4 linked regions of the Callithrix jacchus genome follow. The protein of the gene in region 1 purifies or fractionates together with the protein of each later gene. This does not show direct contact. Links are inferred from orthologs where the notes say so. Each region holds a gene or a part of one and is shown in the gene's direction. Other genes may lie near its edges.

Region 1 (4,213 bases):
AGGAGTCACCCTTGGGAACGTGGGGAGGAGGAGTTGGGGGTGGCTCCTAGTCAAGCTTAGAGGATGGAAGGAACTGAAAGATGGACGTGTGGTGGTCTCAAGGAGGGAAGAGTGATAGGAGCAAGGCCCTGTGTCTGGTAATGATAATATTCGACATATAGTATCTTAATATTGAACATCATCCTAAGTGTTTCACATGGTTTATTTTGTTTAGTTCTCCTTGCAGCCCTGTGAAGTGGGTGCTATTACTGATTTTATGCTGTAGAATCTGTGAAACAGAGAGGTTGAATAATTGGCCCAAGGTCACACAGCTTGTAAGCAGCAGTACTGGATAGATCTGACTCCACAGTCTGTGCTCTTAGCTTTGTCAAGGAGGAAGGCCCAGAGTTTCATCCAGAAAACAGAATGTGAAAAGGGATTGGAATCAGAGCAACCTGGACTGGGTGAAGAGGTTGTGTCGCGAAAGGATGCTGGATGAGAAAGAAAGTCAGAAGAAGGGCCTAGAATGTCAAAAGAGAGGAGTGTCCAGGGCCGCAGGCAACACTGGAAGCCAGGCCAGCTCAGCTGGCCACCCATCCCGGTGCATACCCAATCTCAGTCTGTCCCTTCAGGTCAAATTTACATTCTCCTGCTCTCCCTCCTCCTCAACAAAAACAGGAGATTTACAGACTCTCAACGTCTCTCCCCACAAGCGACTTACTAATCACAAAGGGAAAAATTGTAACTTTGCGGTGGCACAACCTGGCCGACTCCAGCTTAACCAAGTGACCAAAGTGGGTATTCAGAGGGTTCTCAGGGAAGGCTCTGGAGGGGCTTTTGGGGGAAATGTATAAGGGTTTTGTGAGGAGGACTCTGAATGAAGAGGGTGGGAAGTCTTGGGGACTGAGGAGTCTGCGGGAACAGGGAAGGGTCCAGAGGGGGAAGGAGGGGTACGTCTCGGGGGAAGGGAGAAGTATTGAGGTGGGAGAGGTTCTGAGGTTTGAGCGAGGCCCTGGAGAGAGACTTGACAGTTTGGGCGAGAAGAGGGTATGGGAGGTGTGTGGGGGTAAAAGCTGGGCAACTGCAGAGCTGGGGGCAGGGTCTCCACCGACAATCTTGAAAGGGTCGGGACTCGAAGGGGAGGGTTCTAAGGCAACGGCCAGTGGAAGTGGGGGCTCCTGTGGCGTGAGGTAAGGCCAGCCGGAGGGTGAGGCGATTTGGACAGCCCGGCCTGGGGCAGCGGGAGGGCCAAGGTGGGGGAGGGCGCGGGGGAGGGGGCGGGGCGTGCTGGGGTGGGGCCGGGGCGGGGTCGGCACCGCCCGGCGGGTCCCCCCGCGCTGCAGGGGGCGCTGTGAGCCTGGGCGGCCCCAGGCCGGGCGGCGGCCGCTCCCCGTGAGCGCGGCCCCTTTTCCGGGTTTCCTCCGCCTCCTCCTCCTCTCCTCCTTCTTCTCCGCTGCTGCCGCCGCTGCCCCTTTCCCGGCCGGTGGCTGCCGCTGCCGGTGCCGCCGCCGCCGCCTCCTGGGGGCCGCGAGCCGAGCGGAGACCGCCGCGGAGCGCGAGCGCCGCCCGCCCCGCCGCTCCGCCGGCCGCTCCAGGGCCGGGCCGGCTCGGCCGGCGCCCCCCGCGCCCCCAGCCCGCCCGCCCCCGCGGGCCCGGCCTGGCGCGGCCGCCCGCTACCGCGCTCCTCCTCCTCCTTCTCCAGAGCCCGGCGGCCAGCCGCCTCCTCCGCCCGCCGCCCCGCGCCCTCCGCCGCGCCGCCGCCGCCACCCTCTGCGCCCCGCGCCGCCCCCCGGTCCCGCCCGCCATGCCCGGCCCGGCCGCGGGCAGCAGGGCCCGGGTCTACGCCGAGGTGAACAGCCTGAGGAGCCGCGAGTACTGGGACTACGAGTCTCACGTCCCGAGCTGGGGGTAAAGCCGCCGCCGTCCCCCGCCGGGCCCGCTGACCCCTGTCTCCGCCCGGCCGCCCCCCGCGACCCGCACTCGGCCGGGGTGGTGTCTCCCGCCGATCCCTCCGCGGCCCCGCTGGAGACAGAGGTCCCGCTCTCGCACATGTCCTCGTCTTCCTCTTCCCTCCCCTTTACCCCGGTTTCGTCCCTTTCTCCCCGCTTTGCGCACCCCTTTCCCCCAAGGAATGATTTTTTTACTCGGAGAGAAGTGTGGGGTGCACGGATCGGCGCTGGGTGGAAGTGAGGGAGCAGCCCTTCTCACACTTTTGGGTTTCCACTAGGGTGGGAAGTCAACAGCTGTCCTCTGGAGCTATTAAAATTCTCTGCCTTTTCGGTTTTCTGAGATGAGGTAGTGGGAGGAAATTTCTTAAAGACGTCCACATTTTTAAAACAGGGATTGTCTACCTTCAGGGTGTGAAACGGGAAGCAGGTGCTGTGAAGCCGCGGGGCAGAGGGGGCACCCTCTAGGCCTTCAGGACGGGTGCTTTGTTCGCCCCTCTGGATTGGCTCAGAGCGTTGCCTTTCTACCCCATCTTCCCAAGTTAGGAGAGACCAGTTAGGTTAGGAGCTCTGCAGAGTGAAGGGAGCCAAGATTACGTCGTGGCTTTCATTTAGGGAATGAGTTGTGACGTGATGTGTAGACACTTCCAAGTGTTTGCCTGGCGGAAGCGGCTGGATGACGTGTATAGTGGGCATAGGCTTGGCTAACCCCCAGTCCTGGCATTTATGTGTGTCTGTCTCTTACCTTTTACAGTAATCAAGATGATTACCAACTGGTTCGAAAACTTGGTCGGGGAAAATATAGTGAAGTATTTGAGGCCATTAACATCACCAACAATGAGAGAGTGGTTGTAAAAATCCTCAAGGTGAGTGTCCTATGAGTGATAAATAACATTTGTTCCCCCACAGGGCAAAAGGATGTAAGCTACCCCAGTCACATTCTAGAATGGGCAGTGCAAGCTTGAATTTAATTACTTATTTAGAGTCAGAGTCTCACTCTGTAACCCAGGCTGGAGTGCAGATTATGGTTCACTGCAGCCTTCAACTCCTGGGCTCAAGTGATCCTCCCTTCTCAGCCTCCCAAGTAGCTGGGACTACAGGTGCATGCCATCATGCCCAGCTATTTAAAAAAATTTTTTTGTACAGACAGGGTCTGGTCATGTTGCCCAGGCTGGTCTTAAACTCCTGAGCTCAAGCAGTCCTCCAGAACGACTCCTTGCAGGCTTCCCAAAGTTGCTGGGGTTACAAGCATGAGCCACTGTGCCCAGCCCACACTCAAATTTTACTTCTCTGATGACCCTTCATTACTTCTTTTTCCACCCCATTTTCCTGTGAACTTTCAAGGAAATGTGCAGACTGGTCACAAATCTAAGCCCAACTCTTAAGTTCAGGAAGGTGTTCTAAAATGTAAATTATAGGTGCCTAAAGCAGAAATTCCAAAAGGGCTCCATTTGTTAGAAAATAAATAGGTATTCAAAAGACCAAAAAGCCATTCTCAATTTCAGGTCTCCTTGAGCACTGTTTGTTACTCTTGGTGCGTGATCTACCTTATTCCATAAAGAAAGCTGGACAAAACTGGAGTGACTTCAGAGATGTATTGCGAGCCCAAGTTGAAGGAAATTCCTTAGTGGATAATCACTTGTTTTTTCTTCTTTGGCAGTAAAGTTTCAGGTGGCGTGGATATAGTGCACTAGTAGGGCTGAGAAGCCTTGTTAGAAAGCCAGAGAGCCTTTGTTGCTTATCAGCTAGTAAAAATATAGAATTCACTTATGATTTCTAAAGTAATCACTGGAACAAAACTCTTAACATATGGTTTAGCGATCTCAGTTTGATAATGCTGTGCTTTTGTTATCTCTTTGATGAAGATGATTTTAATGAGCATGAAGGGTCGGCTAAATTTTCCTTCAGGTAAAAGATTAATTGTGTAGCTTTAATAATGTTTTATAGGGTGTGGTAAAAAGTAATTGGTAGAATCTTTGATGGGTCCTCATTATTGCCAGATTATTTCATGTGGGCACGTGTCATTCAGTGAGAGATTGAGAAGATGGAAGAGTAATGTAAGCACTTTTGTATACATGTGATTTCCAGTGTGGCCCTTTTGCAGAGGTTCTGTGGACTAAGAATGTGGTATTGAAAAGCTGTTTCTGTGTGTTAGGGCAGCTGTATAGGTAATCCCTGTTTAATGTGAGGGGTCAATGTTAGCTTTCTGGTAATCACCTTTCAGAAAAATGATCAACTCCATCACTCAATACATCCTAGCCTAGTGATGAAGGAGCAGAATTGCAAGA
Region 2 (4,021 bases), on another chromosome or scaffold:
TGTGATCTGGATGTCCACGAGCTCCTTGGAGATCTGCGGGTGGCCAGGTGAGAGGTGGCATCTGTGGGGTCTGCCAGCACCCTCCCTCCTCACAGCACCCTGGGCGCCCACACCCACCTGCAGCTGCTGCTCCTCACTCAGCGCTAGACCTGGTGGAACCTCTGCCCCCAGGCTGGTGGCCCAGGCTGCGGTGCCCCCAGGAGCTCCTGGCAGGCAGTCCTTGGCTCGTGGCACAACCTGGAGAGGGCTGTGGTCTCACTCCCATGCGATCACCAGCCCTGCTTCCCGCCTGGCTGAGCTGCAAAAGTCCTTCCCCTAGCTGAGATCAGACCCACAGTACAGGGACCTGCACCCTCCTGGCCTCTGCGGGAAAGGGCAGACTCCAGTCCCGTGGAAGGAGCAGCAGCTTCCCTGAGGACTCACATTCTCCACCTGCCGAAGGGGAGGTCCTGGCCTGGGGCCTGTGGTGGCTGCATGCTCCATAGGTGAGGGGACCCTGGCCTGCTCCGAGCCAGGTACCACCTCCATGCCTGGCCTCCCTATGGCTGCTGCCACCACCACAAGCACTGCTGTGCGCGTTGCCAAGGCTTCTGTTGGTCCCAGGAAACTGCCAGGGCCCTGCCCAAAGGGGCAGGGCGAGACCCAAGGTTGTGGAGGAGGAAGGACAGCTCTTCCTCTCCTTGCCAACGTTTCCCCCTCTGGGGAATGCGGCCCAGCGCTCCCCTGTGCATATGGAACCACGTGCGTGAAAGCACTCAACCCGGGCGCGGCGACAAGCACGCAGAACGGAGCGCGCTACCCGCACGCAGGGTGCCCTGGGCCACACTTATCGGACACCTTCTGTGAACCTTGCAGTGCTGGCTGAGCCCCGGGACGGGCAGGTGAACAAACTGGACAGATCTCTGCACCTCCGGCCTGAGAAGTGGGGGCGCAGACGTCCCCACTGGGAACAGAAAACTCGGAACCGACTGACTCAGCCCGGGCTCCTGAGGGCTTCCTGGAGGAGGTGCCAGCGCCGGGCCCGGAGGGGTCAGAACCTGCGCGCGGCGCCCCACCTGGCACGCAAGCAGCCCTGGCAGGCCTTGTGGTCTCACTACGCGCAGGATCCCGGCCGGGCGGAGGCAAGGCGAGTCCGCGGAGTGGGGCGGTTGGCGCCTCCCAAGCCCAACGCCGCACTCCGTCCGGACCCCGTGACCGGCGGCCAAGGCCCCGCCTCCATCTGTCCGCCCTTCGGGCTGTCAGCGCAGCAGTGCGGGTGAGGCGGGCGGCGGGGAAATGCGTCTGCCGGGGGTCGGGGGCCCGAGGGGCGGGGCCTGGGAGGAAGGCGGGGCCTTCGGGGGCCGGGGCTCGGGCTGGGGGCGGGGTCGGGAGGGGCCGGGTTCCGCTCTCGAAGGAGCCGGGTGCGTGGAATTCCACGCGAGTGCCGGGGAGTTCCTGGGGAGCCTCCAGCCTCCTCCTCTGCCCCCGCAGCGTGTTGACCGACCCGCCTCACACAGCCCTTCCTAAGGTGTGGAGAGCGGGCCCCGCCCTGAAGGGGCACCGTGGCCTGGGGGGCCTGTTTTGGAACAGGCACCGGTGGCCAAGCTCCGTGGCCATGAAGGTCAAGGTCATCCCCGTGCTTGAGGACAACTACATGTACCTGGTCATCGAGGAGCTCACGCGCGAGGCGGTGGCCGTGGACGTGGCCGTGCCCAAGAGGGTGAGGGCAGGCCGCGGGCCGCAGGGACACGGCCGTGCCCCCCGCCCCCGAGAGCCTCCCTGACCCCCTGGCATGAGCGGTCCCCACGTGCTCTGCTCTCCGGGCGTCACTGGCGGCTGGGGTTGCTCCATCATCTCGTGGCTCCCTAAAGTTAGGGCGCCTCTGGCCTCCGCCCTTCCCCTGCTGCCTGGCCGTCCCCGCAGGTGCAGGGGCGCAGTCACTGCCCGCTGGGTCCCCGCTCTCCGGCGCTGCCCAGGGTCCTGGCCGGCCTGGGGCGCTGAGCGCGGCGGACCTGGCGCCCCGATATGGAGAGGGAGGGAATGGCCCACTGGGACCGTCTGTGTCATGACAACTCCCGTCCCTTTCAGTTGTTGGAGATCGTGGGCCGGGAGGGGGTGTCCCTGACCGCCGTGCTGACCACCCACCATCACTGGTGAGCGCCGGCGGGGCGGGGCGGGGCGGGGCGGGGGGAGGCGCGAGGACGCCGCCCAGCCCCACCCGGACCTGACCTGGCCCCGCCCGCCCGTCTGCAGGGACCACGCGCGGGGAAACCCGGAGCTGGCGCGGCTGCGTCCCGGGCTGGCGGTGCTGGGCGCGGACGAGCGCATCTTCTCGCTGACGCGCAGGCTGGCGCACGGCGAGGAGCTGCGGGTGAGCGCGCGCCCCCGGGAGGGCGGGGTGGGTACCCCGGGACCGCCCGCCCTCATGGGTCCGCCTGCTCCTCCGCCGCAGTTTGGGGCCATCCACGTGCGCTGCCTCCTGACGCCCGGCCACACCTCCGGCCACATGAGCTACTTCCTGTGGGAGGATGATTGCCCGGACCCACCCGCCCTGTTCTCGGGTACCCGCAGCGCGGAGCGCGCCCACCCCGCCTCCCGCCGGCCCCGCCCCCTCTGCTCTGACCCGCCCTCCCCCGCCAGGGGACGCGCTGTTGGTGGCCGGCTGCGGCTCGTGCCTGGAGGGCAGCGCCCAGCAGATGTACCAGAGCCTGGCCGAGCTGAGCACCCTGCCCCCCGAGACGGTGAGCGGGCCTGGGCCCTCCCCTCCTTTCCCGTGGGCACAGCCCCCACGCTCCGCACCCGCACTGTGCCGGGGTGCAGAGTGAATGCCCACCAGAGGGCAGAGCGTGCGCGCTCACCGAGGCTCTTCCTCCAGAAGGTGTTCTGCGGCCACGAGCACACGCTCAGCAACCTGGAGTTTGCGCAGAAAGTGGAGCCCTGCAACGACCACGTGAGAGCCAAGCTGTCCTGGGCTAAGGCACGGCCCCTTCCCGCCTCGGCTGGAGGGTGGGGGAGGACGGGCTCTGGGGGGCTCTCAGACAAGCCCCAATGATGACCAGGGCCTGTGGTCACTCCAGAAGAGGGACGAGGACGATGTGCCCACAGTGCCCTCGACTCTGGGCGAGGAGCGCCTCTACAACCCCTTCCTGCGGGTGGCGTGAGTATGGCCGTTGTCTGGGGCCTCGGCAGGCGTGCGGACCCTTAGGAAGGCATCTGGGGGCCTCGTGGAGGGCTGAGCATCCCTGGCTCGGGGGAGGCTGCTCATTAAGTGCCTTCCTGCCCACCCTCCCGCGTCAGCGGTGGGCCCCACGCCTCACTGCACCCCTCCCGCAGAGAGGAGCCGGTGCGCAAGTTCACGGGCAAGGCGGGCCCCGCCGACGTCCTGGAGGTGCTCTGCGAGGAGCGGGCACGCTTCGAACAGGCAGGCGAGCCGAGGCAGCCACAGGCACGGGCCCTCCTTGCGCTGCAGTGGGGGCTCCTGAGTGCAGCCCCCAACAAGTGAGCCCCCCACAGACCCTCACAGGGCTGGGTCTCACATGCCTCTTCATGACCTCAGCCAGCTGGACTCACGCAAGGGCCACCTCTGGAAGCTTCTAAGAGGCTCTGGCCTGCCAGCTGCCCAGCCTCAGAGGGTGGACATGCGTGACCACTCTGCGGGGCCCGTGGGGGCCCGGAGACCTGGGTGTTTGGGAAGTGGGATGCATGGGGCTTCTGAACCACGAATAAAGCCGTTGTCAGTGCTGGCAGACGTGCCAGGAGGAGCTGTTTTCAGAGGCGCATCGAGGAGGGTGCCTTTATTCGACGTAAGCGCTGGGAGACGGGCCTGGTGGGGACCTGGCTGGGGGGTGATGCAGCCACTGGTGCCTGCTGGTGTCCTTAGCTCGCCCCTCGGAGCTTTCCAGGGGGCCCGGCAGGACCAGCTCTGTCTCCCACCTTCTTCGCAGAGCTTCAGGGGAAGCCTCTAGAAGTTGGGGGTAAGAACCCATCTTGTTCCGTCTCAGGCAACCCCAGGACAGGCTGAAGCCTCTCATGCACCTGGGTG
Region 3 (4,085 bases), on another chromosome or scaffold:
TACAGGCACGTGCCACCATGCCCTGCTCATTTTTTGTATTTTTTTTTTCTTTCTTTTTTTTGAGACGGAGTTTTGCTTTTGTTACCCAGGCTGGAGTGCAATGGCGCGATCTCGGCTCACCGCAACCTCCGCCTCCTGGGTTCAGGCAATTCTCCTGCCTCAGCCTCCTGAGTAGCTGGGATTACAGGCACGCGCCACCGTGCCCAGCTAATTTTTTGTATTTTTAGTAGAGACGGGGTTTCACCATGTTGACCAGGATGGTCTCAATCTGTTGACCTCGTGATCCACCCGCCTCGGCCTCCCAAAGTGCAGGGATTACAGGCTTGAGCCACCGCGCTCGGCTCATTTTTTGTATTTTTAGTAGAGACGGGGTTTCCAGGATGGTCTCGATCTGTTGAACTCGTCGTGATCCACCCGCCTCGGCCTCCCAAAGTGCTGGGATTACAGGCTTGAGCCACCGCGCCCGGCCTGATACTTTCATTTTAAAAAGGCAAATGAGTCAAAGAACAATTGAGTTCAGTGACGTTTGTGAAATCCTGGAGGCTCAAATCCTTAGGTAGATGGGGAGCAGTCGGAAACCAGTGGGCTAGTGAGCCAGGGTGAACCCCAGTCAGGGTATTGAACCTTGAACCCGAAGAACATAGGTTTCATCAAATCACAGAGTGGTGATATCGAAGAAAAACACTTTACAATTTTATCTATGCTGAGGGTTTCCCTAAATCCTCTCACACTGAGTATCTATGGCCCCTATCTATTTAGAATTTTGTTGTATGGTAATACAAACAAACGATTATGTTTCCAGCCCATTAAGGGGAGAATTGGGTGTTACTTAATGAATTAGGGAAATCGTTAATTGGAAACTCCCGCTGAGGAACAACTGATAGCAAGTTCTGCCAGCCCTTTACGCGATCCTTCTCTTTCTGACTTACCTGTTCCTAAAGTAGTACTCATTTCCTACAGTCAACGACCTAGCTTGCAGCCAGGCTAAAGTGGCCATGGTCTCTTGGCGTTGGCTTACAACTGCTGTGCCTACCGGTGTCCATGGTAACTGGGCTAAACCATAGCTCACTCCCGGGGGGGTTCCATTGTTTGCTCACTGCTCTTTTCTCTGACGCTATTTCGACTTTAAGAGTACTAAAAAGACAACTAAGAAATTTCTTTGCAGCACAAAAAGTTTAATTTATTTGTCTCTGTCTCTACTGCGAGTATGAGGAGGGGATTATAGGAAGGGAAAGCAGTAGGCGAGGAGAACTAATGGTTGCTCCAGGCATCCGGTTTCGGCCTCAGTCGGCTTCCGGAAGTTCATCTCAAAATGCTGAACTGTATTTTGCAAGTCGCCGGTGCTGTAGTAGTTGGAGTCTGTTCACGGGCCTGAGCCTGTGGCCAGGCTCTTGGGTGTCGTTAATGTTCGGGGCCGCCGGGCGCCAACCGATCGGAGCTCCAGCAGCCGGGAACAGCTGGTGAGTCTGGCGGCCCTGGGGAGGGGGAGGTCAGGGAAGGGTGTGATGGCCTGAGGCCGCTCCGCTGGACCTGGAATGGAAGCGGGAGGGAGCTGTGATGGATGGTCTGAAGACATCTAGGCCTTGCTCTCACTCATTCCTGAGATGCACGCAGTTTGAGGGAGCTTTTGAGAGTATGCCAAAAAATTGTGAAAGAGTACAGTAAATGTTTGCTGATTGCTTAGCAATATTTTGGAAGTCATGCTTCCTGTAATCCCAGGAGCGGTTTTATCTCCTCATTGATTGTTGACAAAACTAGGCACAGGAAGAATTTATCTTAATCTGGGCCTTATTCCCCACTCCTCTTTCAAAATTCACCAATTTATACTAAGTCTCTTGGAAGATAAGTTCAATAATGGAAAACACATCACTCACCCCCTTTTTTGGAGGGGGGAACCTACTTCCACCCTCTTGAACATTCTAAGTTCAAATGAGATGTGTATGGGGGTGTTCCAGGAACTAATTTTACAACCGTTAGGATTAAGTTTGGGGCTTGACTATGTCTATGGTATCATGTCACCAGTGCCACGTTAGAATAATATATTGCTTTGACTTTAAAAGATATTTTCACAAATTAATACACTTTGTCTTATGACAGCCCTGTGATACCAGAATATCAAAAGCACAGAATATCCAAGTGTCTTGTCCACAGTTGCCCTGTACATTTTAATCCTAGAGCTAGGATCTGGGTTTTGGGATTTCTAGTTGAATACTGTAATATCTGTCCTATTTTTCTCCCAAGCCCTTTTCTTCCAAACGTAACACAAGACAACCAGTGAAACAATCAATTTCCTACTGAAAACCTTAAACATAAAGTTTTGACCAACAGGTGAAAGAAATGTGGCTAAACAGTGCATGTTCATTCCTAGATTCTGCAAAAATTAGAACATGAGGAAGTCTAATAGTCTGTGATCTTCAAGAATTATTTTACATCACCTATCATTGCAAAGGTATCCAAAATCTTTTTAGTTAGGGCAGGTCATCCTGTAGTTAAGTTTATAATGAATATAGATTTGATTTTACTCTTTTTAAATTATCACATTTTCTAGTGAGAAAAGTAGGGAGCACTTTTTAAATGAACCAATTTTTAATGGTGTAACTAGCATAGAATGAACTGCATAATTCTTAAGTGCTTGATTTTATTAGTTTTGGCAATTGTATATACTTATATAACCACCACGCAAAACGAGATAATGGACTTGCCCATCATCCCACAGTTCCCTCTCAAGGATACCTTTCTTAATGTTTCACCATTCATTATCTTTGTAAATCAGGGAGATAAAGTGTCATCTGTAGATTGGTCTGCTCTTCCTAGGGCACTCTTGATTTGTAGGATAGGTGACTGCATCAGAAGAGGACTGATTCTCTCAACTTCTTCTGCCTTCCAAATCGTGATTATGTACTGAGAGAAACCTCCTTCAATTCTCTTTTAAAGGCTCTCTTGTCATACAACCATTTCCTATGGCACCAGAGTATAACAAAGTGGTAGCAGTTAGTATTTTTGAATGAAATTCTTAAAGTCATTCCTGTTTTGGCACAATGAACATGTTCCAAAAAACTGGAACTTTATTTTTTAGTCTGCCTGTATGACTATACAGTCATTCCAGATTCCTTAATGGAATTTTCTTTTTCATTAATTGGACAGATATTTACTATACAACATATATGTGTAATCCCAGTAATAAATTCCAGTCCCACTGGGAATACAGCTACTAAGCAGTTAACTAGGTGCCAGGTTTTACATGCATGTGTCGTCTCATGTAAATCCTTTGAGGTAGGTGTATCATTCTTTGTGTTTTAGATAAGGTGATGCAAAAGCAAAGATGGTTTAAGTAACTGGCCTAAGTGTATTGTATTTGCAGGATGATTCCAATATACCCCCCCCCCAAATTCTTAAATAACTTGTAGATTGCCTATGTCTCTGAATGAGATACAATATGTAAACTAGCAGTTATATGTCCAGATTTATTAACCAGTCTGGAATTTCTAACTTATTTAGCTCCCATCTTGACTTTCTCTTTTCTTTTTCATTTCTTTTCTTTTTTTTCTGAGAGAGAGTCTCACTCTGTTACCAGGCTGGAGTGCAGGGGTGCTGTCTAGGATCACTGCAGCATACACCTCCTGGGTTCAAGGGATTCTCCTGCCTCAGCCTCCTGAATAGCTGGGACTACAGGCACATGCCACGACACCCCGCTAATTTTTGTATTTTTAGTAGAGACAGGTTTTCACCATGTTGGCCAGGATGATCTCGATCTCTTTGACCTCATGATCTGCCTGCCTTGGCCTCCCAAAGTGCTGGGATTACAGGCGTGCACCCCCATGCCCAGCTCATCTTGACTTTTTCAACTTCTCTCCAATTTGGAGGTTGCTGTTTCAATTTTTAGGCACCAGGTGGATAAACGTAGGTAATTTCTTTACTCAACTATGGTATTCTGTTTTTTTTAACTTTGTTATGTGGCTTTGCTTTTAAAAAAAGCTGTTAAGATAAACTATATTGACTCTGGAGTTTTGTTTCTGTATTTTCATTCCTATTTGGTATTTTGATTTTATTGAAATCTGAAAAACTGAAAAATCTGAAATCTGAAA
Region 4 (4,274 bases), on another chromosome or scaffold:
TAAAAAAAAAATCTTGCTGCACTCTTTAGAACTAATCCTATGACCTTGAACCAATTAAACACCGAACTTCAGTCTGCAAATGGGTATAACAGCAGGTTATCTTACGACTGTTGTGAGGGTCAAAAGATTTGTTTGGTACACAGTCTTATGTCACCAGCAGTGTTTCCACCTTCGCTTTTTGAGAGCCTTCGAAGGGCCCCACACCCCAGGTCCTTAAACTTCCCTGAGGGCCTACCAAGCCCCGCCCCTCTCGCCTCCGAGGATGACGTCATCGACTGAGTTGTTGAGTGACGTCACCCCGGGCGGCTGGGCTTCATCGCCTCTTCTCCGGAAACCTCCGACTCTTGGCACCTGGCCTCCGGCTTTCGGTTATTTTTATTTTTTCTCCACAGCCTGAATTCCTTCCCTCCCATTCTCCCACCTAAAACTATCGGCTCTTCCCGCCTTCCTTCAGCTAGCAATTTTCGGTTCTTCTCTCTTGCTCTCGGGCGACTTTCTGAAAGTGGTTTATTCTCTTAATAGACCCTCCAGCCCCGCCAGTTCAGCTAATTCGCTTAATCGCATTATCCTGACTGCTTCCACCTCCTGCCACCCACCAGGACACTGTCTTCGGCTCTTTCCGGACCATCAGAGTTTCTCCTCCTTCCCCGGTCCCGAACGGCTTAGGCTATTTCTGGCTGCCCTAGGTTTCTCTTGCTCCCTCTAGCCCCACCCCTATCAGCACCTTCGGCTCTTTCCGACTCTCCCCCGCCGTCTCCTGTCTCTCGCTCAGCTCCTTTCGGCTATTTCCGCCTCCCGTCGGCCTCGCCCTTTACCTTCGGCTCTTTCCGCCGGCCTTCGGGCAAGCGGTCTCTTCCCCTCTCCTGCACGTGACACGGCCTCCGCCTCCCGCCTCCCAGTTCCCCCTCCCACCTCACCCTTCCTCCCGCCTCAGCCTCTTGGCTGGTCCGGGCCGAGTCGCCATTTTGTGTCAATTCCTGATTGCGGCGGGGGCCGGGCAGCCGGGGCACCCGGGGCAGCAGACAGGGAGACAGTCGGCCCGTCTCCTCTCTACCTCAAATCCTTTTTTTTTTTTTTTTAACCCCCCACCCCTCGCTCGCTCGCTCTCCTCTTCTCCCCCTACCCTTCGCTTGCTCCATCGCGCGCGGCCCGCGCTAATTACATCCAACCACCCACCAGTGTCCGTGTCTCCCGGATCTCCCGTCCCCGGGCCCGCGGGGGTGCGTGCGGGGAGCTCTCGCCCCGATGAGGGCCCCGCGCCAGTGAGCGAGTGACCGCAAGGGTGGGCTGCGGAGAAAGCAGGCGGCGAGCGGTCCGCCGAGGCCTAGGCCGAGCGGCCTACGCGGAGGTCGGCGCAGAGGTGATTCCGAAACCGAAAAAATATATACCCCATTCCCATCAGGAGCCCTCCGAGCAGAAGTGTGCCCCTCCCGCCACGCCCAAGCAGTCCTTTTTCGTGCATTAACATCCCCTCCCCCCCAAAGGAACTATGGAGGCCGCGCCCGGGACCCCCCCGCCGCCGCCATCAGAGTCGCCGCCGCCGCCATCGCCGCCGCCGCCATCAACGCCTTCGCCTCCTCCGTGTTCCCCCGACGCCCGCCCGGCCACCCCGCACCTCCTCCACCACCGCCTCCCGCTCCCTGACGACAGGTCAGGCCCCCGGCCGGGCCGGGGCTGGCGTCCCCGGGGGGAGGAAAAGGAGGAGGAGGAAGGGGGGCGACCGCCATGTTGGGCCGGGCCGCGGAGGAGGAGGAGGAGGAGGAGGAAGGGCGGGGTCGGTGGGTGTCTCTCGATCGCTAGCTCGCTCGCTCTTTCTCGCTTGCTTTCTCTCCCGGCCTCATGCGTTTCCCCCCCCTCGCGGCGCTCGCCCGCTCTCCCTCGCTCTCGCTCTGTCTTTTTTGGGCGCCATGCTGAGGGGAAGGTGAGGAGGCGCCCCTCGGACCCCCCGCGCCCGCCCGCCCGCCCTGGGGAGGGGGCGCCAGGGGGGGTGCTGCGGAGGCCCACGGGGGTCCTGGCTGCCCCTGCGCCCGGAGCTGGCAGCCACGGGCCCGCCTGCCCGTCGCCTGACTTCGGGGAAGGGGATGGGGGAGGGGCTCCGGACCCTTTTTAGGGGGATCTCCAGCAACAGCCCCGCTCTTAGGGGTTTGGGGTTGGGGGTCTCCCAGCCCCCGGCAGTATCCTTTCTCCTGGGGGGGCACACCCTGCCCTACTTGGATGATAGGTACCCTAGCTTTTTTAGGAGGCAGAAAGTGGGGGTTCAGGTCCTTTCTTCATCCTTCTAATGGAGGGTCCTTTGGGTGGGTATGGCACTTAATTTTTGGCGGGAGGTGTTTTCTAGCTATTCCCTAGAATGCAGAATTGGGGAGGGGGAGAGATGCCTCTCCAGCCCTTCTGATGAAAACCCCTGCTTATTTTTTGAGAGAAGACTCTTCCCCATGTTTTTGCTAAAGGGCAGGGGTCCTCTCGATTTTCGTAGGTAGGTGACGTGAGAGGGCTCTTAGCCTTTTTTGTGGAGGGGGGAAGGTTTGGTTTCCCTGCCTTGTAGGGGAGAGGAAGTTGGTCCCGCGCTTTCTCCTGTGGTTCCCCCCTCTTTCGGGGTAAAATGGGGCACCATCTCTTCCGGAAGAGAAAAGGCGATTTCCTTGTGCTTTGGCAGGGGGTGAAAGGAAGCGCCCCCTTCCCTAAGTGCGAAACGAGGCCCCCCTCCCGCCCTTCTCTGGCTGGCGGGTGATAATGGGGACAGCTCGGCGCGTTTCAGGGCGAGGTTGGGGCCCTGTTTCCTTCCCCTGCTCGAGCAGAAGGAGTTGGGGTGCAGGGTTCGCCCACTGTTTCCTGGTGGGGCAGAAGAGGCGGCTGGAGAGTAGGTTTGGACACGGACGGTGGGTTTCGGTCGGCAGGCAAGACAGTCTTGGAAGGAGTGGGGGTGGAGAGGGGAAGAGAACGTGCTGGACAGATGGCTACCCCGTCGCAGCCCTGCCTGGGGAGCCCCTCAGGAACCTCCCTTAGTCGGGGGTTTCAGCCAGGGCTCCCCCTGCCAGACTCCACTGCCCCTTCTCCCCACTCCTCCCTCCCCTTTCCCCTTTCTCCTTCACAGACCATACTTTGCCTTTTAAAAGAAATGCCACCCACATTCAGAGACACAAGTGCAGCAGTTTGGTGAGCTTTTACAACATTTTTTTTTTCTGTTTTGTTCTAATTAAATGTATCGTCCTGGGAATCGCAGCCCATCGCAGCCCGACTCCAGTTCAAGGAAATAAACAGATTAGCAAAGGTCTGTTCGCTAAGCCCACGTCGGGCTTCCGGCCCCCTCTCCGGGGGCAGGTGCATTACTCAAAGGTGCTTACACGCTTTATTCGACCTCTAAGGAGTTCTCTTATGTCAGAAGTGTATGTCTTACAATGGGTTGGGATGGTAAGTAGCCTCTTTTATTGAGTAATTCAATGATCTCCCTCTTTTTCTCCCTTTCCTGCCTGCCTTCTTCCTCGCCTTTAGACCAAAGTGATGCTTGAGAGTGAATTGATGTGTTGGAATCAGGATTCTAACCCTGTTGAGCCCTTTTATACTTGCACATCCTTTCAGTGTTTAATTTTTTAAATTTGATGTACACAGTTTTCTCAAAAAAAAAAAAAAAGTGTGCTACTGTAACATGACAAAAACCGATGTAAAAGGCCTGTGTTTTCAGGCTCTGGCGTCCCTCTTTCCATTTCAATCCATTGCTTTGTCTCCAGCCTTCATCTTTGAAGAAAGTGGATACTTCAAGTCCATTTATAGGAGACAAGCTTACTGAATTTGATTTATGATACATGTATTCAAGTTAATGGTTCTCCCTCCCCCCCCAAAAAGATTGGTTCAAGTAGCTCCAATTTTCTCGTTTTACTCCAATGTCTCTTGTGGTGATGGACCTTAAAATTGAGCAAGTCATTTGTAAAGTACTGTTGAAGCACAAAATCTGTGAACTCTGTCAAGCCCCCATCTCTGCCTGTCTCCACTGCTCCTTTGTTCGAAAGCACATGTCTGTGAAAAGTTGATGCAAACGTGTTACACGCCCAGTCATGTTGGAGGGAACACCTCCTCCAGCCCCCAGTCCCCCGTCCTACACGTTAACAAGGAAAAAAAACCAACAGAAATGACTTGCAGAACCAAACACCGTACTTCCGATGTGTTTTACAAGCATCAGTTCCGTTAAAAGACAAAACACGTTGAAGTTGCATTTTCCCTCTTTCCCACTTTTGATCCCTGGCATACTTTGAGAGAGAACCCTGGTCCTCTCCAAC

The links.
Region 2: the proteins of CSNK2A2 (region 1) and HAGHL purify together in Homo sapiens (affinity purification with mass spectrometry; 4 studies listed by BioGRID and IntAct, counting the BioPlex papers as one, with this or other methods). This does not show direct contact. The link is inferred for Callithrix jacchus from reciprocal best matches to the Homo sapiens genes CSNK2A2 and HAGHL.
Region 3: the proteins of CSNK2A2 (region 1) and GPATCH2 purify together in Homo sapiens (affinity purification with mass spectrometry; 6 studies listed by BioGRID and IntAct, counting the BioPlex papers as one, with this or other methods). This does not show direct contact. The link is inferred for Callithrix jacchus from reciprocal best matches to the Homo sapiens genes CSNK2A2 and GPATCH2.
Region 4: the proteins of CSNK2A2 (region 1) and ZC3H4 purify together in Homo sapiens (affinity purification with mass spectrometry; 3 studies listed by BioGRID and IntAct, with this or other methods). This does not show direct contact. The link is inferred for Callithrix jacchus from reciprocal best matches to the Homo sapiens genes CSNK2A2 and ZC3H4.

The regions. Positions count from the first base shown.
Region 1 is NC_133521.1:16,079,386-16,083,598, reverse strand, and holds the start of CSNK2A2 (casein kinase II subunit alpha'), read left to right. Parts: upstream 1-1,413; 5' UTR 1,414-1,783; coding exon 1,784-1,887; intron 1,888-2,330; exon of another isoform or gene 2,331-2,504; intron 2,505-2,679; coding exon 2,680-2,791; intron 2,792-4,213.
Region 2 is NC_133513.1:2,984,215-2,988,235, forward strand, and holds HAGHL (hydroxyacylglutathione hydrolase-like protein), read left to right. Parts: upstream 1-1,221; 5' UTR 1,222-1,255; intron 1,256-1,470; 5' UTR 1,471-1,594; coding exon 1,595-1,699; intron 1,700-2,067; coding exon 2,068-2,132; intron 2,133-2,232; coding exon 2,233-2,540; coding exon of another isoform or gene 2,541-2,619; coding exon 2,620-2,720; intron 2,721-2,854; coding exon 2,855-2,956; coding exon of another isoform or gene 2,957-3,031; exon of another isoform or gene 3,032-3,038; coding exon of another isoform or gene 3,039-3,056; coding exon 3,057-3,136; exon of another isoform or gene 3,137-3,170; intron 3,171-3,312; coding exon 3,313-3,481; 3' UTR 3,482-3,725; downstream 3,726-4,021. Other genes in the region: CCDC78 (coiled-coil domain-containing protein 78), read right to left, coding at 1-33, 118-237, 424-528. UniProt on the Homo sapiens protein: Hydrolase acting on ester bonds.
Region 3 is NC_133520.1:11,521,156-11,525,240, forward strand, and holds the start of GPATCH2 (G patch domain-containing protein 2), read left to right. Parts: upstream 1-1,285; 5' UTR 1,286-1,404; coding exon 1,405-1,460; intron 1,461-2,368; exon of another isoform or gene 2,369-2,449; intron 2,450-3,711; exon of another isoform or gene 3,712-3,890; intron 3,891-4,085. Other genes in the region: spermatogenesis-associated protein 17-like, read right to left, coding at 930-997. UniProt on the Homo sapiens protein: Enhances the ATPase activity of DHX15 in vitro.
Region 4 is NC_133523.1:41,071,301-41,075,574, reverse strand, and holds the start of ZC3H4 (zinc finger CCCH domain-containing protein 4), read left to right. Parts: upstream 1-1,474; 5' UTR 1,475-1,489; coding exon 1,490-1,921; intron 1,922-2,132; exon of another isoform or gene 2,133-2,303; coding exon of another isoform or gene 2,304-2,476; intron 2,477-3,094; coding exon 3,095-3,156; intron 3,157-3,223; exon of another isoform or gene 3,224-3,388; coding exon of another isoform or gene 3,389-3,411; intron 3,412-3,885; exon of another isoform or gene 3,886-4,014; intron 4,015-4,274. UniProt on the Homo sapiens protein: RNA-binding protein that suppresses transcription of long non-coding RNAs (lncRNAs). LncRNAs are defined as transcripts more than 200 nucleotides that are not translated into protein.